Linked DNA regions of Rattus norvegicus. The protein of the gene in region 5 purifies or fractionates together with the protein of the main gene of each other region. This does not show direct contact. Links are inferred from orthologs where the notes say so. Each region holds a gene or a part of one and is shown on either strand. Other genes may lie near its edges. The genes, in order: Strn3, Gcc2, Cttnbp2, Strip1, Zranb1, Fbxw11 and Cttnbp2nl.

Region 1 (3,500 bases), on a different chromosome or scaffold from region 5:
TTTTGTGTGTATAAAAGGTATTTATTTCTAAGCTATAAACTATAAAGGATCAGTGGAGTGAGGAGGCAACTATTCACTTTCGGATGTCTTCCAAAAGTCTGTCTCTGACTCGGGTTCTAAGTGTCTCCTCTAGGCTCTTTAAACAGATAACCTTTGACTGCAGCTAAGTAGAATGAGCTACTTACTTTACACTTACGGACTTGATTAGGACTCCGTTTGGAGATGTTGACAACATACTGGGTTTACGGAAAACTGAGGCCCAACAGATCTGCAGACTGATGTCTGAATGTCCCAAGAATGAGTGGCTGCTTGGCTGGCTGCAAATTAACTGCACTAGGACCTAAGAAAAGGCTCTTTCCACCAGCTGTGTGCCCACCACAGTGATCGGAGTTAGACACTATTCAGCAGCCTGGTTTCCTAGCTGAATCTTTTGTTCTAAAAAATAAAGTATGATAGAGGCTTTAATATCACTGATAAAATTTTCAAAATGAGGGGTTGGGGATTTAGCTCAGTGGTAGAGCGCTTGCCTAGTAAGCGCAAGGCCCTGGATTCGGTCCCCAGCTCCGAAAAAAAGAAAATAAAAAGAAAAAAAATTTTTCTCAAAATGAAGTCTCAGTCAGTCTCTCTCTCTCTCTCTCTCTCTCTCTCTCTCTCTCTCTCTCTCTCACTCTCTCTCACTCTCTCGTGTGTCTGTCTATCTGTCTGTCCATCCTCAGTTTCTGGTTATTTGAAATAGCATAAGTGATGATATTTTTTTTTTTTTAATCTTAAAGGTATTTGACACAGCAGAATTCTATTTTCAAATCCAGACTTTCAGTTTTTTGATCTTGCTAAAACACATCTGAGGTCTTTTGATTTTAAAGCAGGTAGAGTACCCAAGTTATGGCCCAAACATTAAAGAAGAAATGATCTATAGTAAATCTTTAACTTTTTTCCTGTCTTACATAAAATATTTTCATGTGTGAATTTATTTTTGAAAAAATCCCTGAACTCTAATAAGAAGTTGAAATAACGTGTGCAAAACTTGCCCTCTTTAACTTGCAGAGGAAACCAAAGATGCGGAGGCTCCTCCAGCCCAAAACAGCCAGCTGACGTGGAAGCAAGGCAGACAGCTGTTAAGACAGTGAGTAATGATTTCAGCTAAGAAGGAGTTATGAAAGTGCTTACATTGAATCGACTTATACGTAGAAACATTATTTTACTGTATGACTTCATAGTGCTGCTTTTAAAAATACATTTGTATCTATGTGGGCATGGGCACAGGCATGAGCCACAGCTGCTTGTGGAGATGAGAGGGCAGCTTTCAGCATTGACTCTCTTTTCACCTTTGGGACACAGGGATTAGATCCCGGTCATCAGGCTTGGCTATAGGTCACTTTATACACTCAGCTGTTACTGAAGGATGACATTGACTTCTTTCTACTATTTTCTTGCCTCCTCTCCTCTCCTTCTCTTCTCTTGTCCTTGCCTTGCCCCGCTCTCCTCTCCTCTCCTCTCCTCTCCTCTCCTCTCCTCTCCTCTCCTCTCCTCTCCTCTCCTCTCCTATTTCTTATGTGGTAGAAAAACTGAAAAAAAAAAAAACAAAAAAAACCAAAAACTGGATGACGACTTCAACTGAAGTAGTATGGCTTATATGGAGTTGGGCTGCATTTAAAAGCATTGGCTGCTCTTGCAGACATTCCAGTTTTGATTCTTAGCATCTACATTGTGGCTCACAGACATCTGTAACTCCAGTTCCAGGGGATTCGGTGCCCTTATCTGACCTCTATTGGTCATCTTAATCTAGGTACTGTGTGCCCTGTATACTTTCATAAATGTAGGGAAAGTACCTGCAACATAAAAATAGTCATTCATGTAGTACATACACTCTCACTACGAAGTTTACACACATGTGTTTGTATGAGAGGTATAGAGAAGTATTGATATTTGAAACTCTTTAAAGATGGCTTGCCAAATCCTTTTAGTTGAAATTATTTTATTCTGCATATGAGTATCTTTTCATTTCTCCGTGTGTGTGTGTGTGTGTGTGTGTGTGTGTGTGTGTGTATAAATTTATATATCTACTCTTTAAAAGATATTTATGTATGTCTGTATAGAGGCATGTCACATGTGTATGTATCTCAAAAGCTTTTCAACACTGAGGCTCTTTTAGGTATTGAGATAATTGGTTCAATCAATGTCAGTTAGTCATACTATATGCTCCCCCCTCTCCTCCCCTCCCCTTTCTCTCTCTCTCTCTCTCTCTCTCTCTCTCTCTCTCTCTCTTTCTTTCTTTCTTTCTTTCTTTCTTTCTTTCTTTCTTTCTTTCTGCTTTTTCAAGATAGGGATCCTCTGTGTAGCCCTGGTTATCCTGGAACACCTGTAGATTAGGCTGGCCTCCATATCCTGAGTACTGGGATCAGAGGTGTGTGCCACCACACCTGCCTTAATCCATTTTTCAAAAAGATTGTTTTATGTACATGAATTTTGTCTGGATGTATGCATGCTGGGTGTCCACATAAGTCAGAGGAGGGTATAAGCTATCCTGGAATGTGAGTTATGGATGGCTGTAAACCATGTGAATAATATCCCTAGCACCCATATTTCAATTTTGACTTAAAAGTTGACATCATTAGCTGGAATTAGGCTATAATGAAGTTATTGAGACGAAGAATAATTTGTGTGATTGTGAACTTTAATATGATTTGAAGGTGGCAGATGTTGACAGTCTGTTGAGTTTTAGTGTTTAATTTTATCTTGATAGGTATCTTCAGGAAGTAGGATATACAGATACAATATTAGATGTACGATCTCAGCGGGTAAGGTCATTACTTGGACTGTCTAATTCAGAGCCAAATGGATCCATAGAAGCAAAGAATTTAGAACAGATCCTGAATGGTGGTGAATCTCCTAAACAAAAAGGACAAGAAATCAAAAGGTATGATTTGTATTTGTTGATTAACATCGTTTAACTTATGGACATCAAAATCAGTGGTACAACAGAGACTTTTCATAGAGTCTCACTTTTGCTAGCTTTTCTATAGTTGTATTTATTGTTAGATATTAAATGAATCTATGGAAGCCACTTTGTTTATTAGAGAAACTTAAATTATTAGGTTTAGGAAAATAGATTATGGTTATTACCTGTTACCTGAGTAGTTTTGAAATACTTGAAAACATTTTAACAGATTAAAGACATTTTTTTTTTTTTTTTTGCTACATAAAAAATTTATAAAATGGATTGGTACCTCTTGGGTCCCAGAATCCTAACTAGATGTGGGAAGGGAATGAAGAAATGACAGACATTGGACACATACACACAGGGAAACTGGGATGGCTTCCTGGACTCTCTGATGGAGAAGGGCAGCACCCAGGAGGCTTAGTGTGTGTGTTATGGAAAACTGAACAAGGAAGCAGGGGTTCATGTTGTGCAACTGAATCAGGATTAGCTAGTTTTGGTAAGGGACAGTCTCCACAGGGGAGCAGTCTTCAAGACGTTTCTGGGTTTGGGAGTTAGACAG
Region 2 (3,500 bases), on a different chromosome or scaffold from region 5:
GACCTTGGGCTGAAACTGTAAACTAAGACTAATTTCTCTTAAGTCACCTTTCTCAAGGATTTTGTTACAGTATCTGAATGGTGGCTAACACAATAGTCAGTATAAATGTGGTCTCAGAGCATCCTCTTGAATTCTGACAGTAATATTCATTACAGGTAAGAACAAAAAGGATACCAAAATTATACTGTATTTATCACAGTAAATTTGCCAATATTTCACTGTTTAAGGAGTAAACGGAAACTTAAGTTTCTTGGTGGGTAAAGGAACAGTTCATTTGCTTTCTAATAACATTGAAGACTTCTTTATGACTTCTAATGACTTCATCCTTTATCCTTTACTTCTGGCTCAGGCCTATACTTATGTTAATGTGTTATTTATTTATTTATTTATTCATTCATTCATTCATTCATTCATTCATTCATTCATTCATTCATTCAGCCCAAGGGTTTCTCTGACTGTCCTGGAACTCACTCTGTAGATTCAACGCACCTGCCTCTGTCTCCCAAGTGATGGGATTAAAGGTGTGCTCTCTACCACTTCCTGGCTACGTTTTTAGTTTTTAATTTAAAGAGATCTGTTTCACTCTGTAGTATCTTTCACTGGAATAGCTCGAAACAACATAAAAATCAGCGTAGTATTTATCAAACAAGCCAGCAAAAGTAAAAACAAAACGAACCAAGAACCATCATTCACACGAGGTGACCTACCAAGCTTGCTGTCAGGAGAGCTAAGGAGCTGCTCCAAGGACTGAATGTGTGTGCCGGCCGAAGACACAGACTCACTGTCAGTTGTCTCCATCCCTTCCCCCTCCTCTCGGGTCACAGTGTGCATGTCCAGAAGGGGGAGGTCTGTGGTCCGTCTTTCTCGGAGGCTTTTTGAAGGTTGATGGGAAGAAGCAGGGCCTAGTAAATATTTTAAAGGGTGAGTGAAATTGTTAAAAACAAATGGACTTGACCCCAGCATTTCTTTAATAAAGTTAAAGAAATTAAACAAGCAGCAAGTAAACAAATGGTATCTGAAGAAAGGATGCTACGTGGTTGGACTCGTTTAGTCACTTGACACTGAGCTGTGCCAATCATCCTACAGAAAGGATACACATTGCTATTTGCTGCCTATGATGAACAGTGGGCTGATGCTTACTCTGCTAACACCCATCCTTTCCACACGCTGCAGTGGGCCGACACTGCTGTCCTTTCTGCCATCTTGGCTGGTACTTAGTGCTGTCTGCTTACATCTCCAGTGTCCAGATTACAGAGCCCAGCACTCAGTGTAGGGAACCGTCAGTTACCATAGAACTCCTGGGCACGTGCCTTTAATCCTAACATTTGGTTGACATAGTGAGTCCCAGGCAAGCCAGGGCTACATAGTATGATTTATCTCAAAAAAGGATTTCTTGCTTGCTTATGACAAACACTTTTACAAACCTGTGAAGTTCGTAAGACTTCCAAAGACTTGATGAGGAATTGACTCTATGGAAGGTCTCATAGCTTAATCCAGAGTTTAAGTTTCAAAGTTCATTTATTTTCAATACTATCTTTCAATAACTGTCACCCCAGTCCTTTTAACCTCTGGCTGCCCATTTGGAGCATTTCCCTGAGTTTCTGACATTTTTACCAACTGCTTATTACACTGCTGATTCCTAATTACGACCCTCTTTGTTCAGCCCAGTTTTCTTTGGCTGATCATTTCCTTTTAAACTCTTGGTGCAAGTTAAATAAATTCTCCTAAGGTCAGTTTTTGACCTTGTTAAGTGGCCTGTGCCTGCCAATGCTCCAGGACATTTTTTTTTTCTATGGGAAATGAAGTGCCATGAACATAGGACTAAAACATCACTGTCATAACTCATGTTCTCTTGGCTTTTTCTGGAAGCAGAATAGAAGACATTGGGTGAAGCGACAATTCCACTTCACTAAAATCTGAGGGAAGAGGATGTACTGGCAAAAGACTGGACAAGCACAGTTCATAAGTCCTTAGCTCTGCCCAAAGCTTCCAACCAAGAACACATGTGTTTGAGGTAGAGTAATAGATGATAGGATTAGAACTCACGCTGTTAGACTGATAGGAGCATGTTTAAGCCAAACAAAACATAAATACACAGTTAGGAACATCAGTAGTCTAAGGCAATGCTTAGTATAAGTATAATCAAGAAGGGTTTACATGACTCACGTTTATGTCCAATAAGGAAATCAATAATTTATTAATCACAGAATCGACACAGGTTGTTTCCTTTAAATTTTACGTGTTTTTAATTATTACTATTATTATTTTTATTTTGGGTCTCGGTATTTTGCATGTATGTCTGTGGACTGTGTGCAGGCAGTGCCATCAGAGGTTGGAAGAGGGCATTGGATTGATTCCCTGTGACTGGAGTTACAGATGGATGTGAACCACCCAGTGGGTGCTGGGGATCAAACCCAGGTCCTCCGGAATGGTAGCAAGTACTCTTGACCACTGATCCATTCAACATTTTACTTTCTCATCAATTTGTGAGTGATGGTTTTATGTGATACACACATGTCGTAACATAAAGAGGTAATCCTTCCACACAGATGCACATACTTTTTGTGGGTGGCTCACTCTTGAGCTGGAAGAGCTGAGTTTCCACCTTGGAGAGCTGGTGCTGCAAGGTCTCCACTGTCTTTCTGTGCTCATCCTGCAAGTGTCGAACTTGGTCTCGGAAGCTGTTACGGAGGGCCTCATTCTGGGATGTCAGCTGACACATTGTCTGGGCGTGTTCAGACTTCAACATGGTGTTCTCAGATTGAGCTGAACATAACCTGAAGATAAGAAGAGCTAAATTCATATGACAGACTTGAACTAAGCTTGTTGAAGCAGCCTCCATGAGTTGGATTCTCTGGTTCAGTCCCCAGCACCATAGACACTGGACCCATTGGTATATCCTTATAATCTCAGCACAGAGGGGTGGAGGCAGGAGGATCAGAAGGTCACCCTCATCTACATAGAGTAAGACTAGCCTGGGAGACAGAAAGCCTTGTTAAACATTTAAACACACACACACACACACACACACACACACACACACACACACACACACACACACACACACACTATTCTATTTCTTCATATGTTTTTATGTAGGCAGCTCATATATGATCAATCTACCTATTTCATACTACCTTGAACATATGAAAAAAGATACTATTCATAATTAGAGTCCAAAGGAAAATATCGATTTTTGAGTGAATTAGCATGAAACACGCAGGTGCAAAGACCTGACTTATTACAGCTACTTCTAACTGTGATAGCACATCAGATTTGCTGGTTTATCTTGTAAAACAGTGACACCTACTTTTCATACTCTAGCTGCTGACTCTGTAATAGTGGTCCTGGAAATTGGCTACTGACAGCAGTTCTCCACTCGGGTTTGACACAGACAGTTAGCAGACCTACACTTTGGGAGCAACTACTTATATTAATTTAAGTTTATTCTTTTTATTATTACTGTATGTGAGTGAATGATGGGTGTGTGATGGGCAAAC
Region 3 (3,500 bases), on a different chromosome or scaffold from region 5:
CTTTGGTCTTTCATCCTCTTGCCAAGTGTGTTAAGGTAAGGCATTGTCAGTCTGTTCAGTTTTGGTTTGTTTTGTCTTTTTACCTGTATGTCCATTCTTAGCAGCAGAATACAAGGCAGAATGGCTATCTTCACAGCAGTAATTTATGTCCAGTCCTTCTTCATTAAGCAGCATTGATAATAGAGTGACATTTCCCTGGGCAGCAGCTTGCTGAAGAAGGGTGGGCCTGCCAGCCAGGGGGGCAGGACCACCACTCATTAGCAAAGGGGTTAGGGAGGGTGACCAGCCTGTAGGTTAAAGTGACCCTAGTTAGACAGCAGGAAGAAGAGACAGAAACTACCATTCTTTTTTCAATCACACACACAGAGACAGGAACACGTATTTCTAGAAGATTACATGGTTTCTAACATTATCAATCTGTTAATACTGTCTTAGCATAAATCCGTACTGTTATTTTCAGACTTTCTATCTGGTGCTAATTAAATTAACCTTGATGGGGGGGCATGTTATTTTTAGTCGTCAGTTTGGCACAAGAAAAAAGAGTTAAAGAAATAATTGCTTTTAGGAGGCCGAGACGGCTACCACATTCCACAAACTTAAATTTCTATTTAGAATTTAAGATCATTTTGAATTTTAAGATTATATAAAGGTTACCTTAATTTCAATACTGATATGGCAATGTAAATTAAGTAAGTGTGAGATACCACCATAACTGCAAAGAGTTTCTTCAACAATGCTTCTAAGATAATTATTTGTATAAACCAGGAAATAGGCCTCACTCTATCAAGGAGTTTGTCCTATTCCTTCATTTCAAATCTAAGAAACAAATATGGGTGTTAAAAGCTGACAGAAATACAATATATATAAATGGCTGTATTGTACGACAGAACATAGTTCAGTAACTCTGAAAACTTTGAAAACGGCCACCTCTCGCCATCTTCACTGCAGGACTAACAAACTTGAGATTGGCCAACAAAGCAGGGTGCTCTACCACACAGCTTTAAACAAAGATTGCAAGATGATCATGGTTAGTTTTCTCATCAGTATTTAGCAGTTTTAGAAGAGAATCTGTTAAGAGTGTGAAGTCGGCTGCATATAGCCTGGAAAATTTTCTGAATCCTTCCTTGATCAAAAGGCTGTAAAAACAGTAAAGTACACATGTTTATTTAATTGATAATTATGTCCTTTCGGGTTAAATACATTGAGTGAGCCCCAGTACTTTTCAGCAGTTCTGTACATAACTACACATATATATTCTTCATGCAGACTTTCCATGGGGAATAGCTATATAGCTATCAGTATCAGTTACACTAATATGAATGTAATATTCAATTCTTATGATTAATCACAAGTTTTTGGCTTTACTTCTTTCAGGATATATTTAAAGTACATATCAAAGAAACTCCTCTGAATATTGAAAATTCTTTATAAAAATAAGTCAGAGAGGCCATTTATGCCAATAGAAATCCATGGAAGATTGAATCTCAAAATTATATCTTTACAACTAATAATTTGAATCCACGGATTACTTATTGTTTTATCATATCAGGACAGCAATGACAGACAATTAAAATGTTTATAAAATTCAATATTTCTCAAATCTTTATATTTTCCCATCCATATTGATTAGGTCTTCTTAGAAAAGTAGTATTTTTACTTCATACTTACAAGAAGGCTCCTCTCTGGTACATTTTACCTTTTGTATTTTCTTAAAAACAAACAAACAAAAAAAACAGGCCCACAAAAATTAAATCAGTACTTATTAGAAATGGATGATAGACAGAAAATTATAAACACCAAGGTAGGACACCTTGACTGTAATTAACAAGCAATAAGAAAGCATTACACTACCGTCCCCAGCAGAACAGGGATGGGGGGGTCTGCTTCATGCTATAAACACACACACATACATACTCATGTACACACACACTCATACACACATACATACCTGTACACATGCATACACACACTCATGCACCCACGCAAACATCTGCGCGCGCGTGCACACACACACACACATACACACACACACACACCGCACTCATGCACACAGGCACACATGTACATGCACACATGCATACACACACGCACATCTGTACACATGCGTGCACACACACTCATCTCTTCTTTACATCTCATTCAAGGAATCTAGGTTCTTGACAGTCTTCCATGAATACCAATGTGTACATACTAAAGTTTGCTCATCTTTTAGTTTAAACCACAGTTCTAGGCTTTGTAAGAGACAATACAAATTCACATTTCCAATTGTTTTATATGGGTTTATATGGAAATATTCAATTATGTGTATAATTTTCTGGAAGACCCCACTTGAGAGCAGTAAAAGGCTTTATTCAAAAATGTTATTAATCATAAGGTCATGAAGTGTTGTTGCTTTTCCAGTCAGATTCAAAGAAAGCAGTATCAGTTTCTTTGGAGGACTGAAAAAAAATGGTCTCTAAATCTTCACAAAAGAAAACGTTTTGAAAATATTGTAAACTTTAAGCTCTTAAATTTAAACAAATGTTATTTTTTTACTATAATTTCCAGTTTTCTCCCAATACAATTTATTTTAAGAACTCCTGTTACTTATATGTTGGAATTAAAAGAAAGACCTCACTAAACATTAGTATTCATCTGAAATTCTCAGCCATGAGAGAAATGGTAATATGTGATTAACTGGATTAGTTAAGGACAGAATAAACCCGAGTCCACACAGCTACTCTACAGGTGTTAGAAAGTCATTCGGCTACACGGCATTGTAGGCAAACGCTAGTAAAGGTGAGGATTTGCATAGCAGGCCACAAAACATGGGGACATGCAAGGGCAGAGGAAAAGGAGCTGAGAACAGCTTCTGGCACCAGCTTCAGAGGGTGGAGAGGGTTAAGGTCACAGCCCAGACCATTCTGATTTTGCGATTTAGCATTCAAGCCAATCATACACGAGTATACTTTAGAAAATATCTTTAAGGAAGGAAAAAAGTCTGAACCAAATGAAATGGAATTCATAAAATAAATAATAGTAATAAAATAAATAATATCAACAAGAAAAACAATCACAAAGAAGAAAGAGAGGAAGGAAGGAAGGAAGGAAGGAAGGAAGGAAGGAAGGAAGGAAGGAAGGGAAACAGAAAAATTTGCAAAGGTTTGGGGATTCAGTTGCCTGGAGTGATTCCTATTTTAACCTTCTTCATGTAACCATTGGAATATATCATATATAATATATAAATATATGTGTATATTATACATTATATATTATATATTCATTTGACAAATTGGTAAGAATTTCTAATTCATTTACAATTTAAAACACTATTTTAAGAGTTCATGATTTGTTATGAGGTCACCTCTGGTTAGCGTACTTTAGAACGCAACCCATTAAAATGAGACCCCTCTGCCACTCCGGCTTTTCACTGGGATTTCACCTCACTGTTACAGACAGAGGTGGCAGGGACACAGGGCATCTCAAGAGAAAGATCCCAGGTTCCAGGGCAAAGAGGAATA
Region 4 (3,500 bases), on a different chromosome or scaffold from region 5:
GAACTGTGGTTCTCCTCACTCTAGTCAGGGTCTCTGCATTTCACCTCCTGTTTTCCACTCTATCTGGTCGGCTCTGTCTTCCTTTCTGTAATCCTGCCCTGCTTTGACCTTAGTAACTTACTCTTAAGTAATGTTGTTTTGTTTTTCTTTCCCTGAGGCTTATGGCAGTGAGTTCTTTAGGCCATTCTTGTTCATATTTGTCAGCTTTGAGTAAGCTCCTTTTAGACGCTGAGAGAATAGAATGAGTTATAGTCTGGGAAGAAAGATTAAAATACTCCTCTGCTCTTCAGGGTTTCGGGTGTGATTTCTTTTCTCGGGTGTCTCTGTATTACAGCTATCCCTACCCCATGCACAGATGTTTACATCTAAGTCAGGGAGTTAGAAAGCCCAAGGGCTCCTCCCTCACATTTTTCTTTGTTTGAGACTGTCTTCATACATGACCTAGGCTAGCTTTGAGCTCACTATGTAGCCCAGGCTGACCTGAAACTCGAGACCCTCCTGCCTCAGCTTTCTAAGACCTGGTGTAACAGGCATGCCCTTGGTCCCCGTCTTACTCTCACAAGCTGGTTCTTGTGCTCAGGGTCCTGCTGAACATCATGTACCTGATTGTGGAGACTGTTCACCAGGATTGCGATGGTGACAAGGCCGAGTGGAGAACGATGCGACAGACCTTCAGAGCTGAGCTGGGTAGGACCCTGGGGCTCCTCCCTTAAGGCCTTGCTTGGGAGCTGAGTCCGAAGGGCTTTGGGTGGGTCCTGTTGCTGCTTGGGGTCCTAATACCTTTGAGTCACTTCCAGGTTCCCCTCTGTACAACAACGAGCCATTTGCCATCATGCTATTTGGGATGGTGACCAAGTTTTGCAGTGGCCATGCCCCCCACTTCCCCATGAAGAAAGTTCTCTTGCTGCTCTGGAAGACTGTATTGGTGAGCACCCTCTTGGGGGCACTCGGATGCTAGGACACTGGGCGGGAAAGAGACTCTTTATACAGTTGGCCTCTGTACCTGTAGATTCACATCCATGAGTTATAGTCTGAGGTTGTAGAATGAGTTTTGCAGCATTGGTCTTGACTGTAAGGACCTTGTTATTACTCCCTAACTACTATACCAATAATTCATGTACCACTAGGTATTAGAAATAATCTAGGGATGATTCACGCTTGCAGAAGGTTGTGCATAGGTTAAACACAAGTACCATTCCATCAAATGAGGGATGTGCTATCTACCATGGGAGAGAGGTGAGGGGAAATTCCCAGAGCCAGTCTCCCGTGGGTGATGATGAATGAATGTCTACATTTCTTTTGAGTACTGAATATGTAGCTACTTGGTTTTAGAAATGTTTAGTGGCGCTTCAGACTGAACCCAGGACCTTGCTGTGCATGCTAGGCAATCAGACTTCACTGAGCTACATCACTGGAGCGCTTTGTTTTGTTTTATTTATTTTATTTTATATGTACTAGTGTTTTCTGTGTGAAGATACCAGATCCCGTGGAGTTACACATAGGTGTGAGCTGCTATGTGGTTGCTGGGAATTGAACTCAGGTCCTCTGGAAGAACAGCCAGTTGCTGAGCCATCTCTCCAGCTCACCCATTGGCACTCTTTTTGACTTTTTATTTGTATATGTATATTTGGTATATGTGTGGTATATACACACACTTGTATATATATATATGTGTGTGTGTGGTATATGCACACACTTGTGTATTTATGTGTGGTATTGCACACACTTGTATATTTATGTGTGGTATATGCACACACTTGTATATTTATGTGTGGTATATGCACACACTTGTGTATATATGTGTGTGTGGTATATGCACACACTTGTGTATATATGTGTGGTATGTGCATACACTTGTATATTTATGTGTGGTATATGCACACACTTGTATATATATGTGTGTGTGGTATATGCACACACTTGTATATATATGTGTGTGGTATATGCACACACTTGTGTATTTATGTGTGATATATGCACACACTTGTATATATATGTGTGTGTGGTATATGCACACACTTGTATGGCTGCATACACCCTTGTGCAGAGACCAGAGGCGACATCACTTTCCTGCTCTATCCAGCTCTCTCATTCTTGGTTGTATTCCCATGGGACAGGGTCTCTAATGGAACCTGGTTCTAGGCTGGTATCCAGCAAGCAGTGCTGCCCCCAGAAGTGTTACTGTTTCTACCACCTCTGTTGGGGTTACAATCTCACATGCAGCTGTCTGGCTTTTTACATGAACACTGGGGATTCAACCTCATATCCTCATTCATCTTTTGCAAACAAGTGCTATTACCCATGGAGCCATTCTCAGTTGTTTACTTTTTATTTTGACAGAAGGTCTGGCCTTACACTTGAAGTATTCCTGCCTCAGCCTTGTCAGTATCTGCTGCCTGACTCAGTTTAAAAAAAAAAATTCCAGGGGCTGGAGATATGGCTCAGCGGTTAAGAGCACTGACTGCTCTTCCAGAGGTTCTGAGTTCAATTCCCAGCAACCACATGGTGGCTCACAACTATCTGTAATGGGATCTGTTGCCCTCTTCTGGTGTGTCTGAAGACAGCTACAGTGTACTCATATAAACATAATAATAAATAAATTTAAAAAAAAAATTCCAGGAAAGAGATGAAAAAGAAATATAGGACATGGTGGTCCACACCTTGAGTCTCAGCACTCAGGAGGCTGAGGCAGGCGGATCGCTGAGTCTGAGGAGGCTGAGGCAGGCAGATCGCTGAGTCTGAGGCCAGCAAAGGCTCCATGGTAATAAGACCCCTTCTCTAAACAACCTGGGGGTTGGTGCAGGCCTTCAGGTGACACTAGATTGACTCCCTAGCTTTTCTTAAAGCTGTTTTCTCAGTCATACAAGAACTTCACCCTCAGACAAGATGCCTCTTTGGAGACCACTCCCAAACCTGTATTTGTTAAGTGGTTTGGGGCAATGAAAATCTACTGGGCAGATGACTTCTGTATTATGTGCCTAGCCTTGAACATCCGAACTCTCTCTCCACCCACCAAGATGTCTTTTAAAGGAAGCAAGAGTGAGCCTCTAGGTTGTGTGTTTCCGAGGATATGTTGTGAAATGGACTCTGTTTCCACCTGGGGAGAGGATGGATACTGGGTGGACTGGCCATCACACTTAGGATGGGGACATTGTCAGAAACCAAGCCCTGGGCAAGCAAGAAGCCCTCTCTCCAGGATGCTCTGCCACCAGAGCTTAGTGAGTTTAAGACCTCGTAATGTGTGTATAAGCTTTATCTTGACCAGACCTGCTGGTTCCTCAGGAAGCCCCACTCAGGCTGAGAGGAAGGCTAAGTTACTTGGGGTCAGTGGCACTGAGCAGCCAGAGCCTGGGCCTCTGTGAGGGCTTTGGACAGCTTTCTATTTTGTTTTAATTTATCATTTTATCTGAGCTGTGCACAGTGTGTTTCAGTCATTGGAAGATTGACATGTGTGGTTTTGAAGCATTAATCTGCTGACCTTGGAAAGAACTGGCTCTACT
Region 5 (4,295 bases):
TGGTTGAGGAACCGGAAAAGGATGGCGGGGTGATACATGATTGGTCCTCGCGCTTATTCAAACTTAAGCAAGTTTTGAGCGGGCAAAAGGGATATCTGGGGTCACACAGATGTTCTTTGTGGCTTTTCTCGGAACTCTGGGTTCAGGGTGGAGGACGTTGTTTACACGCTTGGAGTACAGCTATCTGATTTCATGGCACCTCCGAGTTCCTGGAACACAAACTTCCCAGTACATGGGTCATGTAAGAGTTAACTTGTACAGGCTGAAAGTCAGGTTTAGGCCTTGAGTGGGTGGGCGACAGGGACGAGTTTTTGAAAAACATTTCAATACAAGTGAGTGTGGGTGCTGGTAGAGGCCACAAAAGGGCACTGAATCCCCGTAGCTGGAGTTACAGATTACTGTACTCCACTGAAGTGGCTGCTGGGAACTGAACTCAACTCTGGGTCTTTGCGAGAGCTGGAAGTACTCTTATATGTTGGCTGTTTCTCCAGCCCCCATATTCTTTCGTTTTTTTTAATTAATTAATTTATTTCTTTTGTGTGTAGCTCAGAGAACAACTGTGGGAGTTAGTTCTCTTCTTCCACTATGTAGGTACTGGGGATGGAACTCGGGCTGTCAAGCTTGGCAACTTCACTATAAAAATAAATGGTAGTTGAAACCAAGTGTAGTGGTGGCATACTTTTAAGTCCGGCATTCTGGAGGCTGAGGCTCTCAGCTACTTAGAAGGATTAGAAATAAACTGGGCTACAAGAGAACCTCGTCTGAAAACAAGTAAAAAGCAAAGTAAGCAGGGCTTGTAATCTCAGCGCTCTTGGGGAGGCTGAGGCAAGAAGATCATTTAAGAGTTCCAGGCCAGCCTGAGCCACAGAATGAAAGCCTGTGTTAAATTATGGAAATTTAAAAAAGGTTTTAAATGTCCTAAGGAACCGCCAAGCAGCATCCCAGTTAGCAAACAGCTCATTCCTGAGACGCAAGACTCGCGCTAGTTCAAAGCTCTGGGGACTCAGCTGTAAGAGCCCACGGCGGTCCCGGAAACCCGACTCCTACCTTCCAGGCGTATCCTGCACTTTTATTTGAGGAAACTCGCCACCCGGGAGGATGCGTGGCAGGACCGCGCGGGCTCTAGCCTCACAATCAGGACGCATGCTGCTGACATCACGGCCTCGGCCCGCCTCCTGCTCCGGGAAAGAGGCGATCACCTATTGGCTGCGCCTCCTGAGGCCTCGGGACCAATCACAGGACGGTGAGCAGCAAGGTCCAGTTCCTGACGTTGTGCAGCCGCCGCGGGGTTTATTTAGCTCTAGGGTCTTGACCGCCGCCATTCGGAGTCTTCAGCGCCCGAGGCCATCCTCAGTCTGCTCCGCCCCTGTCCCCGAGCCTCGGCCCCCGCCTCCGCGCCGCCTCTCCGCCCCTCGGGCCGCTGGGAGCCGCGCGCGGGCCCGCGGAGAACATGTCCTGACTGAGGCGGGAGGGCGGAGGCGGCAGCAGCGGGGTGGGCGGCGGCGCCGAGGGAGGCGGAGAGGGGCCGGGCTCGGCTCGTCGCCGCGGGCCGTGCGGGAGTCGCCGCCGCCGCCGCGGCCGCCCGGCGCCGCGCGTCAGACGGGGAGGAGGAGGAGTCGCGGCCGCCAGGTAACCGGGCCTGGGTTGGGGGCGCCGCGCCGCAGGCCCCTCGCGGGTCGACCGCGGCCTGACGGGGCGTCGCGGGGCGCAGGCTGCCGAGCCTCCGGGCAGCAGCGTTGCGGGATAGCGCATCGCAGGCCCGGGGTTGTCCGCGGCCGCGCGTCCATCTTGGGCTTTCCGGCGCGGGGACAACCCGGGGGATGAGGGAGAGTAGCCCGCCCGGCTTGTTTACCGATCTGATTTGGCCGCCGTCGGCTGTCTGGCTGGCAGCCTCATTCTGCCCTTCTGCCCGCCTCATTCCGGCGACTAGAATTCCTCCCGAGTCCGAGTGTGTGGGTCTTATTCCCACTTCTCAGTAGGCCGTATACACCCGAATTCGTCGCTCTAAGTTGGTGCTGATCTCCAAACTTGTGTTTTGGTCCCTTGTCCACTTTCTCTCCGCCTCATACTTGCCTCTCCGTAGTTGCCTAAAGCAAATCAGGGTGAGAGTTGATGTCTTGTGGCCATGGGCAGCTGGAACTCCGCTCCTGGTAACGATCGCTCTGTGCAACTACCTTGTGGTTTTTGTTGTTTTGTTTTGTTTTTCTGCTCAAATTTGGCCGGTCATTGCACAGACAAAAGAGCTGTAATACTTGATATTAGCGCCGGGGAGAGGCAGTTTAGGTTATGCAGGAAGTTTGAACCCGCCCATTATCTTGGAGACACTGGTGTTTTGAAACCACCTTGCTTAGAATTTTGTATCTCAGCCCCTCGATTTCCCCCTTCGGTTACCCCCTAAGTCACTGTTATAAGTCCCTCCCACTGCTCGTAATGTTTGGTCTCTATAGTTGACCTGTGATGATGTTAATAAACGTGATGTGCAAATACTTGGAAATGTTATATAATGAGTGGCTCCTGTACCCCGCGGTCTCTCAGTTAATCCCTTATTAACTTTTGCTACATGCATGGTACCTCGGTTGAACAAACATGGGTGACTTTGTTTACATAGAGAAGACAGGGGAGACCCGAGGATCTTTGTGACAGAAGCTATTAGAAAGTCGGCTGAACTATGCTTGGGAAAAGTAAAGCTGGAACCTGTTAAATATTATTTTAATTAAATGAGGTAATTCGGTAATTCAAAAGTATATTTAGAAGTTTGCTCTTTTGATTTTGGGGCTCTTAAAATAGTCTCTTTAAATTTTTGTAACTTTTTGTAAATTTTGTAAATTTTTGTAAATTTTTTTTTTGGCCTGTGAGGGGTTAAGAGGCAGGACAATAATGAGGCATTTTACTTTTTCTGAGGAGGATGTTACTTGAATGCTCTGGAAGATTTTTACTGGTTGTTTTAACAACCTTTTATTAGTGCTGCTGAGCATTGCGGCACCCATTTATTTACTCTTGAAATGTGCTTGAGGTAGTAGATGAACTTACAATTCATGGTAATATATTTTAAACTAATGGCCTTGATCCATATATGTGTACTGATAGGGGTTGTGGCATATCAATTTTAAGTCTGAGGATTAGGCCGGGCAAGGTAGTGAATGCCTTTAATCCCAGCACTCAGGTGGCAGAGGTCTCTGAGTTCTAGGCTATACTGGTCTACAGAGCGAGTTTCTTGAGAGTCAAGGTTACACAGAGAAACCCTGTTCCCCCAAAACCATAAATAAATGAAGTCTGAGCATTAACATTAGTTCAGTTGTACAATGTTTAAGGTAAATTGATTTATGTGTAATTGATACAGTGAGAGCTGTTACTTGTACTTTATATTTATACTGCTTTTATAAAAATCAGTTAAAACTTAAAAGTAGGGGGTTGGGGATTTAGCTCAGTGGTAGAGCGCTTGCCTAGGAAGCGCAAGGCCCTGGGTTCGGTCCCCAGCTCCGAAAAAAAGAACCAAAAAAAAAAAAACAAAAACAAAAACAAAAAACTTAAAAGTAGTTGCAAAAGTAGGGTGTTAACTTTTTATATAACTTGGTTTGGTTTTATTTGAGCATTGCTATGGCTTCTCCTCTTCCTTAGAAATACCTTCTTGTTTGAACACTTTTTCTTCCAGTTTGTAGTGGTTTATTTGGAATGTTTGTGTCTCTTTATACCTTAGGTATATTTTCTGTATTTAAGTACACTGACACCTCTGAAGGGCAGTGGTGGTTCATACCATTATTTCCAGCACTCAGGAGGCCAAGGCTGGTGGATCTTTGAGTTCAAGGCCATTGTGGTTTACAGAGTGAGTTCCAGGACAGCCAGGGCTACACAGAGAAACACTAATTCAAAAAACAAAACACCACCCCCCCCAAAAAAAAGAAACCCAAAAAACAACACCAGCACGTTCACTTCTTACCACAATATATAAACTTACAGAAATGAAAAAAAAGTCAAACTCCTTTTCGTGTTCAAATTTCTCAGTAGTTGATCTTGATATATATACTTTAATCTTAATTCTTCACTATGTGAAGCTCAGGCCAGCTAAACTTAAGTTGTTTCTGTATAGTCCCCCTCTTGGCCTTTATTTATTTTACCCCTTTTTACTGTACATCAAGTTAAGTGCAATCTCCGAAGCACCCCTTTGAGAACTTAACTTGGAGGGATGTATTTGCTCTTTTGCATGATACTTTCCACCTTTTTTTCCTTAGTCTCTGGTAGCGTAGATTTCTTTTTATGACTTCTGTTTCCCAACTGTATTTTTAAGGCCCTGAGAA
Region 6 (4,106 bases), on a different chromosome or scaffold from region 5:
GGTACCAACGATTTGGAAAAACTGTAGCTGCACACCTTATAAATGACTCAAGCAACGAGCCATACGCATAGACAGTAAATCAGATCCAGCAATGCAGGCCTCGGCACTACAATCTTTAGGGGGTTTGAGACTGACTTTTGGTTGGTTGTGGTTTTTTTGTTTGTTTGGTCTTTGTTTTGGTTGGTTTGGGGGATTTCATTTATTTGTTTAGGTTTTGAGAGACAGGGTTTCTCTGTGTAGTTCTGGTTGTCCTGGAACTCACTTTGTAGACCAGGCTGACTAACTCACAGAGATTCACCTGTCTCTGCTTCCTGAGAACTGGGATTAAAAGCATGTGCCACCATGCCTGGCACATTTTTTTATTACATTTCTAAGAATCCTACATTAAATCCCTTTTATGTCTTCATTAGGTGACATCTCTTCAATGTAAGGGCAAACAATATCACACAGTCTAACCCAGCCATGAGGATTTTATGGACACTAAGGAAGCATGTGCTCTACCACTAAGGTGCACCCCAGCACCTTAACAGTTACTCAAAACAAAACAGTTATAAGCTTAGAAAACCAGTAAGTGTGGGCCAGAATATTTCTTTAGTCATATGCTAAAAGACCATGCCTGAGGTTAATTACACTGTATTTCTTCTAACTCTCCTGAAAAAGAAGACATTTTGGTTGTTTTAAGTGAATATGTTTCATATGAAGCACTGGTCATTATGAAAGCAGATATACTGTTTTGTCTTTAAGAAGATGGAACATGTATCTTCATACATGAAGATACTTTGACACTTTGCCAAAAAAGAGGTCATCAGGATGGCTCAACCAAAGACACGTGATCATACATGCAGAACGAAATGAGTTCAAGTCCCAGAACCCAGGTAAAAGCAGAAGAGAATCTTTACAACATGGTCCTCTGACCTCCACAGGCCCACTGTGGTGCACGTGTGAATTCACATTAATACATAAGGCACGTTTTAAAGACATTTTGTCAAAATAACGGACTACTAAAGTTTCCCAAACTGTTACAACCGACAATTGGATGCTGAAAAAGAAAAAAGGTCCTCAGAACCTGAAGATAAAGTGACAGAATCCCTGTGAACACACACACACACACACACACACACACACACACACACACACCCCAGAAACTTCCAGGTTTGATTTTTCAACCATCCAGTTCTGCACATTGTGCTGAGTCCAGCAGACATGAGACTCTGTAGTTATGCTACTATTACTTCCATTTTAAACGTGTACCTTAGCTCCCTGGACAACATCATCCACAAAAACCATGGGCTATCCAACAGACTTTCAGTATCACCATTTATTATTTATAGCACTAAATGGGGGAAGTGGCTCTGATGTCACCAACCCTACCCAGTGGAATCACTGACTCAATAAGCATTTCACACTGGAGAAACTCTGACGAGGAAAACACATTGCTAAGTTCAGTAGATCGTTCACCTTTCCTCAGTACTGTGCGGCAGATACTAGTTGTTACGATATTAGTAGAGATACAAAGAAACTGTCAAGGTTTTCACAGGAAGAAGCCTTTCTTATGTCCCCAACTCTCCTGGGCCCAGTTTGATTTCCCTCACGTTCAAACTGGCAGGTACTACCAGCCATACTTTATTTCTTCCACCAATAAGCAAATCCTTCACTTTCCCAGCCATTCACTCACAGCCCTGTTTCCAAAAACCTTTCTAGCACCAAGTCTGAGGTCAGAAATGGGTTAGGGGTGTCCGGGAAGACCTGACCAACCTGGCTACCAAGGGTTTCTAACAGTAAAGGGATCGCTGCTTCTCGGTGGGTCAAGAACACCCCCACACACACACCGTCCCGCTTTTTATTATTAAAAGAAAAGAGGGTGGCAGTGATGAAGGCGACCTCTTCTCCCTCCCCTCTCATTTCCCAAATGATAAAGTTATGGTTTTCCTTTTCTGGGGGATGGAATTCTGAGTACCTAGGGCCCTGCTATACAAACATCCTTCACGGCAGGGTAGGAAACCCTTTGTCCAAGAAGCCTGACACCGCAGGGGCTCGGAAAAGAGGCCCCTTATCCCCTACAGCCTCAGACTCGTGGGCATGCCCAACATCCCAGTCCTGAAGGGCCTATCCTGGCATCCACACAGCGGTAGCTTGGGGTGAGGGTGCTGAGACCCACCGCCACCCCACCCCCTAAGCCTAGGTTACGGAGGCCGAAGCGGCTCCAACTGGTCTCGGACAACCTCCCACCACCATCACCCTCGGCTTGAGCGGGGCTGGGAAGCGCGATGCAGGCCTGGCAGAGGAATCCAGGGAAGGGAAAAAGAAATCCCCTTCTAAAAAGACAGTGTGATGGCAAGGCGAGAGTGAGCGGTGGCTCCGGCAGGAGCGAGGCAGGGGCGCCCGAGACTGGTCGGAGCCCGGCAAGGAGCGGGGAGGGGGTGGGGGAGTTCGCGGGGAGCGGAGGCCGGGCCGGCCCAAGAGCGCGAGGCGTCAGCAGCGAGCCGTAGCAGGGGGCCGGCCGGGCCCAGGCGACGGGGAACGAGGGCTGGCCTGGCGCGGACGCCGAGGTGGGCAGGCCCCCGGGCCGCCGGCCGGCCGGAAGAACTGAAGGCCAGCGGGCCGCACTCACCATGAGCTCGATGGTCTTGTCTTCAATCACCGAGTCGGGCTCCATGGCGGCCCCGGCGGCCCCGCCTCGCTCTCTCCGCTCAGCAGCGAACGGCCCGGGCGGAGGAGGCGGTGGCAGCGGCGGCGGCGGAGGCAGCTCTGGCACCCACTCTAGCTGCCAGCCCGCCCGGGCCGCCGGCAGCTCCGCCCTCCCCCTCGGCGGACGCAGGACGCACGGCGAAGACTACAACTCCCAACAACCGCGGCGGATCGCTAAGCCTTATGGGAACAAGAAGCCGTCGGGCCACTCTGCCAGGGTTCCGCCACGGGAGAGAGCACCTAGGGGAGGGCAGGGCTGGGAGTGCGGGGACATGCAGATCTGGAGTATCTAGGACTTGCTCGGGATAGGGCCTCGCGAGCGCCGCGACTACTTGTCCCAGAAATCCTCGCGCGCGCGGTCTCCTTCCGGTTGGTCGTTCCAGACTTCCTGGCAGCGGGTGGCTGCCCGGACCCGGACGGAAACTCCGAGGCAACTCCTCACTTGTCTGAGATCTTTGCGGTGCGACCGATTTCCGCACATGCGCAGTAGTTGTCTGCAGTGCCCACTGGTCGTCTAGGTGCTTGCGCGGCCGCCCGGTGTATTACACTTGGTAGGGACAGATGGTGGAGACAGGTGGGTCCGAGGTTGCACCAGGAGGTGTGGGAGGGGTCTGTGAGCCCGAAGATCCAACCAAGGGAAGATGGACATCTCAAGAGGAAAAGTTTGGAGGCTTGAGTTGGGAAACAGATGTATGGAGAGCTGCTACACTGGAAGTAGCTGAGCCATGAGAAAGAAGCTGATCATTTTGAAGACATTTTTAAGCATTCCGTTGCTACTAGTACTGCCCTAAGCTCTGGAAATGACAGGCGAGACCTCTGTTCTCGTGAAGCTTAATTCTAATGGGAAGACAGCAGACATTCACCAAGAGTTAGAAATGCTGTGAAGAAACACATCTAGAGACTTCCAGTGAACTCTTCCTCTTAACTCTGTGTGCCCTCCAAGTTGTCAGTACCCTCAAACCAAAAACCCCCAGGAATACGCTGTAGTTAAACAAGGTGGGTTTATTTTAGCTGAACTAGAAGAGAACATGCACCACGATGAATCATGGACGTCTCAGTAAGAGACATTAGGTAATGTAGAAAAGGATTTGAAGGGGCTCTGGAGCGCATACTGCCAGGAAGTGGGGGTAATAAGGTTGGACACCTTATCTATGGGAAGTTATATTAGATTGAAACTAATCCAGTAATTGATGACAGCCTCTTGTAGCCGTGTGTCAGGGGCTTAGACAATGTTCATGTTTTATCTGTGTTCACGAGTAATTATGGAGTGGTCTTGTTTTTGTCTTGATCCATAAGATAAGGCCGTTCTGTGGCCTTGTCTAATGTTAATGGTCTGTGAAGTTGTTTATGTTTTACTGGAGATCTGGCTGTAGAAACCAAGCTCTGGCTATTATCGTGTATCTCGAGGGCCTGGCTCA
Region 7 (4,203 bases), on a different chromosome or scaffold from region 5:
ATAATCACTCACGGTGATGTCCACTATACAGGGTATGACAGCACTGACACGGATATTATATGGATGAACATAACACTGTGTTGACAGGAAATACTGTTTTACTTCCTCTAAACCATGATTACTCAGGCTGGGCATCTCTCTACCCAGACTGTAAACTGCACCTGTCTCGAGGACTGTGTTTGCCTAGGGCAGTGGTTCTCAACCTTCCTAGTGCTGCTGTCCTTTAATATAGTTTCTCACGTTGTGGTGCTCAACCATAATTTCGCTGCTACTCACAGCTGTAATTTTGCTGTTATAAATTGTAATGTAGGTATTTTTTTTTTTTTACAGATAAAGGTTATCCGAGGGGTTGTAACCCACAGGTTGAGAACCACAGGCAGAGAGAGTATTAAATTCCTAATATTCTCCTGCTGATAATTGTGAGGATTAGGAATAATGTATTCAGAGTAGCATGTTACTTGTGCACTTAAATACTTGTTTTCTTACATGTACTTGTTACAAATTCTTTAAAACAATGTGGTCAATCACTTGTGAGCTGAAGTGCAGGCTACGGTAGAGTGCGTTCTCTTCCCTCCAGGTTATCCGGTCTTGTTTTTATCACTAAGATCTGCATTCCTGTGTTCACAAGGACAGTCATTCCCCCTCATCCAACTGTTTTGTTTTGGCTTCGTTAAAAACGCATTCCCCACAGTATGACGGGGCCCAAACATATAAAAGAGGGCCCCACATTCATGAAAGGCAAGCACAGTGTGGGAAAACTGCGCGTAAGTTTGCAATTATTTGGCTTCGCCCTGAAAGGAAGGTCGGCAGGGGTTATGCCCTCCTCTACCGGGTGCTGTCCTGTCTGTTCAACCCCAGAGTCTCCCTTTGTGTACCCAGTGTGATGTGTTAAAGGAGATGGTCTTGTGCCCTTGCTTTCCAGCACCACACCCAAAAGTCAGTGCAGAGAGAGAGAGAGAGAGAGAGAAAGTGAGAGAAGCAAAGAAGACACGTTACTAGGTTTTCAATAACTAATTCTAAAACAAACGCTAAAACTCACTTCTTTTATTCACATTTTGGATAAACCCCAAATTAAGCCACCAAAAGGTGTTCTCAGGATCCTGAAAAGTTGCAGAGCCCAGGCGGAGAGCAGAGCGAACCCAGACTCCAGCCGACCAGAGGTGGTACTTCCTCCCGGAAGTGACGCCAGCTCAATCCCAGCCTGGCTCTCCCAAACAAAAGGGATCTTGCAGCCCCAGGAGGAGCCGGGATGACTTTGGAGAAGCCCAGCCTTCAGGCGGCGAGGATTGGTTGCAGAGCCGCAAGGGCAAGACTATAATTGGCTATGGTATCTGCCGGTCACTGCCGGCGGATGAGGGGGCGGGTCCTGGGAGGCTGGGGATGGGGAGCGGGCGGCGGAGGCGGCGGCGGGGAAGGATCCCGGAGCGCCGAGGCCAGGTACGGAGCGCGGGGTCCGGGCTCTGCGGTGCTGGGTGGCCGGGTCTCCGAGAGAGCCTCCCGGCCCGGAGCGTGTATGGCTTTCAGCAGCAGTCCCTGTCGGGGTAGGGATGGTCCCTTAGGGGGCGGGGCCGCCGCCTCCAGATCCCGGGATTCCCCGAGGAGGCGTCGCGGCATCCTCCAGGGTCCTCGCGACTGTTCATTGTCTCTCGCCAGCCTCCGCCCTTTAGCAGGGGTCTCCCCCTGACCTGTCTCACTCCATGTCGCCTTTTGCCCAGCCCTAGCCTCGGAGAGGGACTGGTGGGTGCAGTTTCTAAGCTGCAGCCCCCACCCCTATATTGGACCCCCGCAAGTCCAGGCATCCCTTCCCACACCTGCCCCTGCTGGCAAGTCTGGGTCCAGAACTAGGGTGCTGTATAAGATCTAAAAAAAAAAAAAACAGCGTTGTTCTTATGAGGGATGGGCGAGGAGGAGGGAAAAAAAAGACGAGACCCAGACAGACACCTCCAACAGTCAGAGCGGCCTTCTCCCCTCTTTAGCTCTTCCCATCCCCCAGCCTCTGATTGCTCCTACGGTCCCCCCAGATCCTGTGTTGTCTTGTTGAGTGTTGAGAGCTCCCCGGCTTAAATCATGTATTACCTTCTTCCCTTCGCCCTTTGTACCTTCCTCGCCCTTTATTTTTCTTGTGGGAGAAGCCAGCTTTTGGGGGATTTTTAGGTTTGAGTTGCCTTTCAGTTTTGCTTTCTACCCGGTTTCTTCCCTGAGAACTTAATAGGAAAGCATCCGCATATTTCATAGCAAGGTGGGTGTGTTAGCTTTCAGCAGAGTTAGCCTTGTGTGGGTAGGAATGCAGTGTGTATTGTTTGACAGTCAGTTATTAATACCATATTTTCAAATGAAACGGTGTGGAGAAGTCAGTAAATGCCTTTGCAGTAGGAATCCCCATCTCTCAGTTTGTAGTGGGCTGGTCCGTTGCTCCGGGAGACTGCAGTTAACCTTGAAGGTGTACGGCAGGTTGAAACAAAAGACAGGAAGTATTTGAACAAAATTCAGGTTCAGTTGGCTAGGTTTATAATTAATCTGGTCCTGTGGCCTCTGAGTACTATCTCACCCCTGTTTTATAATGAGATTTTATCTCAAAGAAAACGTATCTACATGTGATATGATTCTGTCTGGCGTGCCCGCATCATCAACCAAAATTTAAAGCATTAAAATAAAAGGTAGTTTTCAATTTCAGAACAAGAGCCTTGTTGACTGTCCCGATGTTAATGTCATCGAATCTCTAACCATCAGCTGTGGCTAGCAGTACCACCTATTAATTTTTCTATATTTTTGGCATTTTAAATTTTGATCCCGAGTTCATTTTACTGTTGGTTATTTATAGCCGACAGATGTGAGGTGCAGAGTTGCAGTCACAGAGGGCGATTGTAGTGGCTGTTGTCTGTAGCCTTCCTGAGTAGACTTCCTGAAGGTAATTAGTTTTGAATAGTCAGGTTCCAGAGCCACTCTAGGGCTCTGTGATTGTTTCCAGACACCTAGAGAAAGGAAGCACAAAGAAGAAACTGTATACAGGGTCTCTCCTGCAAACACAAAGTTTATTGCCATAGGAAGGAGAGATCCATTATCCCAGAAATAGCATCAGGGGTTTAAAAAAAAAAACTAGAAGTAGAATAGGAAACCCCCAAAAGATGTATCTTATTACATGAGTGGAGAACAGGAAATAAATCCAGGTAGGAGACGTCGGGAAACCTAAGGAGTAGTGATTTCCAGGGCCCTGACAAACAGAGGAAAAGCAGAATAAAGCCACTGATGTTTTGGCACAATAAACAAGAGCTGCTTAATATACCTTTGATCTGGAGGGCTGGTTTTGTTTTGTTTCATCAAGAGTGCTACTGTGTCTCCTTATGCTTCTGAAAACTGTGTAGCCCAGGATGGCTTCCCCTCCTGTTGGGATTACAGCGTGTACTATGATGTTCAACTCTGATAGAATTCTTTCCGATAACCTTTTCACTGTCATTTTTGGTCATGTTAAATGAAAAAAGCATTGTGTGCAGACAGTTTGTGTGTGTGGGTTTAGTGCATTTCATTAAATTATTCTTTGACTGCAAAAAGTTCTTGTAGCTTCCACGGTGCCTAATAGGAACACTGAATTTAGTTTAAAGCTCTCACATAAGAGTCAAACAAGACAGATAACAAACTGATAAAGTATGGCACATCTTGTTAAACCATCCGCCTTCTTGTCTTTGTGTAATTTGATTTTTCCTTATCTGACATGATAGGAAATTGCAATATCTGAAGTGGCTAAAATATTGACTTTCCTATGAGAAAATATCTCTGGATAGGTTTTATATATATATATATGTTTACTGTCATGAATTCTGAGCCAGATATATATGTATAAGAATCTGACCTAGTGGAGGTGGGGTGAGTTCTGGAGAACACTCTAGGAACTGTTGGTTAATTTTTATTGTAATTTCTGAGTATTTGATTTGACCCTAGTGTGCCGGCTAGTTTTATGTCAACTTCATACACGCTAGAGGCATCTGGGAAGAGGGAAACTTCAGTTGAGAAAATGTCCCTATCTGATTGGCCCATGGGCAAGCCAGTAGGGCGTGTTCTTGATTAGTGGTGGTTGTTGAGAGTGCCCAGCCCACTCTGGGCGGTGCTCCCCTTAGGCTTGGGCCTGAGTGCTATAAGAAAGCTGGCTGAGCAAGCCAGTAAGTGGTGTTCCTGATCCTCCATGGCTTCCGCCTCATTTTCTCAGTC

Evidence for each region.
Region 1: the proteins of Zranb1 (region 5) and Strn3 purify together in Homo sapiens (affinity purification with mass spectrometry; 4 studies listed by BioGRID and IntAct, with this or other methods). This does not show direct contact. The link is inferred for Rattus norvegicus from reciprocal best matches to the Homo sapiens genes ZRANB1 and STRN3.
Region 2: the proteins of Zranb1 (region 5) and Gcc2 purify together in Homo sapiens (affinity purification with mass spectrometry; 3 studies listed by BioGRID and IntAct, with this or other methods). This does not show direct contact. The link is inferred for Rattus norvegicus from reciprocal best matches to the Homo sapiens genes ZRANB1 and GCC2.
Region 3: the proteins of Zranb1 (region 5) and Cttnbp2 purify together in Homo sapiens (affinity purification with mass spectrometry; 3 studies listed by BioGRID and IntAct, with this or other methods). This does not show direct contact. The link is inferred for Rattus norvegicus from reciprocal best matches to the Homo sapiens genes ZRANB1 and CTTNBP2.
Region 4: the proteins of Zranb1 (region 5) and Strip1 purify together in Homo sapiens (affinity purification with mass spectrometry; 4 studies listed by BioGRID and IntAct, with this or other methods). This does not show direct contact. The link is inferred for Rattus norvegicus from reciprocal best matches to the Homo sapiens genes ZRANB1 and STRIP1.
Region 6: the proteins of Zranb1 (region 5) and Fbxw11 purify together in Homo sapiens (affinity purification with mass spectrometry; 3 studies listed by BioGRID and IntAct, with this or other methods). This does not show direct contact. The link is inferred for Rattus norvegicus from reciprocal best matches to the Homo sapiens genes ZRANB1 and FBXW11.
Region 7: the proteins of Zranb1 (region 5) and Cttnbp2nl purify together in Homo sapiens (affinity purification with mass spectrometry; 4 studies listed by BioGRID and IntAct, with this or other methods). This does not show direct contact. The link is inferred for Rattus norvegicus from reciprocal best matches to the Homo sapiens genes ZRANB1 and CTTNBP2NL.

Annotation. Positions count from the first base shown.
Region 1 is NC_086024.1:74,827,974-74,831,473, reverse strand, and holds part of Strn3 (striatin-3), read left to right. Parts: intron 1-1,044; coding exon 1,045-1,123; intron 1,124-2,743; coding exon 2,744-2,917; intron 2,918-3,500. UniProt on the Homo sapiens protein: Calmodulin-binding scaffolding protein which is the center of the striatin-interacting phosphatase and kinase (STRIPAK) complexes.
Region 2 is NC_086038.1:26,821,582-26,825,081, reverse strand, and holds part of Gcc2 (GRIP and coiled-coil domain-containing protein 2), read right to left. Parts: intron 2,778-3,500; coding exon 2,560-2,777; intron 903-2,559; coding exon 708-902; intron 1-707. UniProt on the Homo sapiens protein: Golgin which probably tethers transport vesicles to the trans-Golgi network (TGN) and regulates vesicular transport between the endosomes and the Golgi.
Region 3 is NC_086022.1:47,836,541-47,840,040, forward strand, and holds part of Cttnbp2 (cortactin-binding protein 2), read right to left. Parts: intron 1,709-3,500; coding exon of another isoform or gene 1,669-1,708; intron 288-1,668; coding exon 84-287; intron 1-83. UniProt on the Homo sapiens protein: Regulates the dendritic spine distribution of CTTN/cortactin in hippocampal neurons, and thus controls dendritic spinogenesis and dendritic spine maintenance.
Region 4 is NC_086020.1:197,946,516-197,950,015, reverse strand, and holds part of Strip1 (striatin-interacting protein 1), read left to right. Parts: intron 1-580; coding exon 581-687; intron 688-797; coding exon 798-925; intron 926-3,500. UniProt on the Homo sapiens protein: Plays a role in the regulation of cell morphology and cytoskeletal organization. Required in the cortical actin filament dynamics and cell shape. Part of the striatin-interacting phosphatase and kinase (STRIPAK) complexes.
Region 5 is NC_086019.1:197,153,939-197,158,233, forward strand, and holds the start of Zranb1 (zinc finger RANBP2-type containing 1), read left to right. Parts: upstream 1-1,495; 5' UTR 1,496-1,629; intron 1,630-4,295. UniProt on the Homo sapiens protein: Ubiquitin thioesterase, which specifically hydrolyzes 'Lys-29'-linked and 'Lys-33'-linked diubiquitin. Also cleaves 'Lys-63'-linked chains, but with 40-fold less efficiency compared to 'Lys-29'-linked ones.
Region 6 is NC_086028.1:17,735,891-17,739,996, reverse strand, and holds the start of Fbxw11 (F-box/WD repeat-containing protein 11), read right to left. Parts: upstream 2,801-4,106; 5' UTR 2,657-2,800; coding exon 2,612-2,656; intron 1-2,611.
Region 7 is NC_086020.1:195,240,104-195,244,306, reverse strand, and holds the start of Cttnbp2nl (CTTNBP2 N-terminal-like protein), read left to right. Parts: upstream 1-1,403; 5' UTR 1,404-1,437; intron 1,438-2,102; exon of another isoform or gene 2,103-2,239; intron 2,240-4,203. UniProt on the Homo sapiens protein: Regulates lamellipodial actin dynamics in a CTTN-dependent manner. Associates with core striatin-interacting phosphatase and kinase (STRIPAK) complex to form CTTNBP2NL-STRIPAK complexes.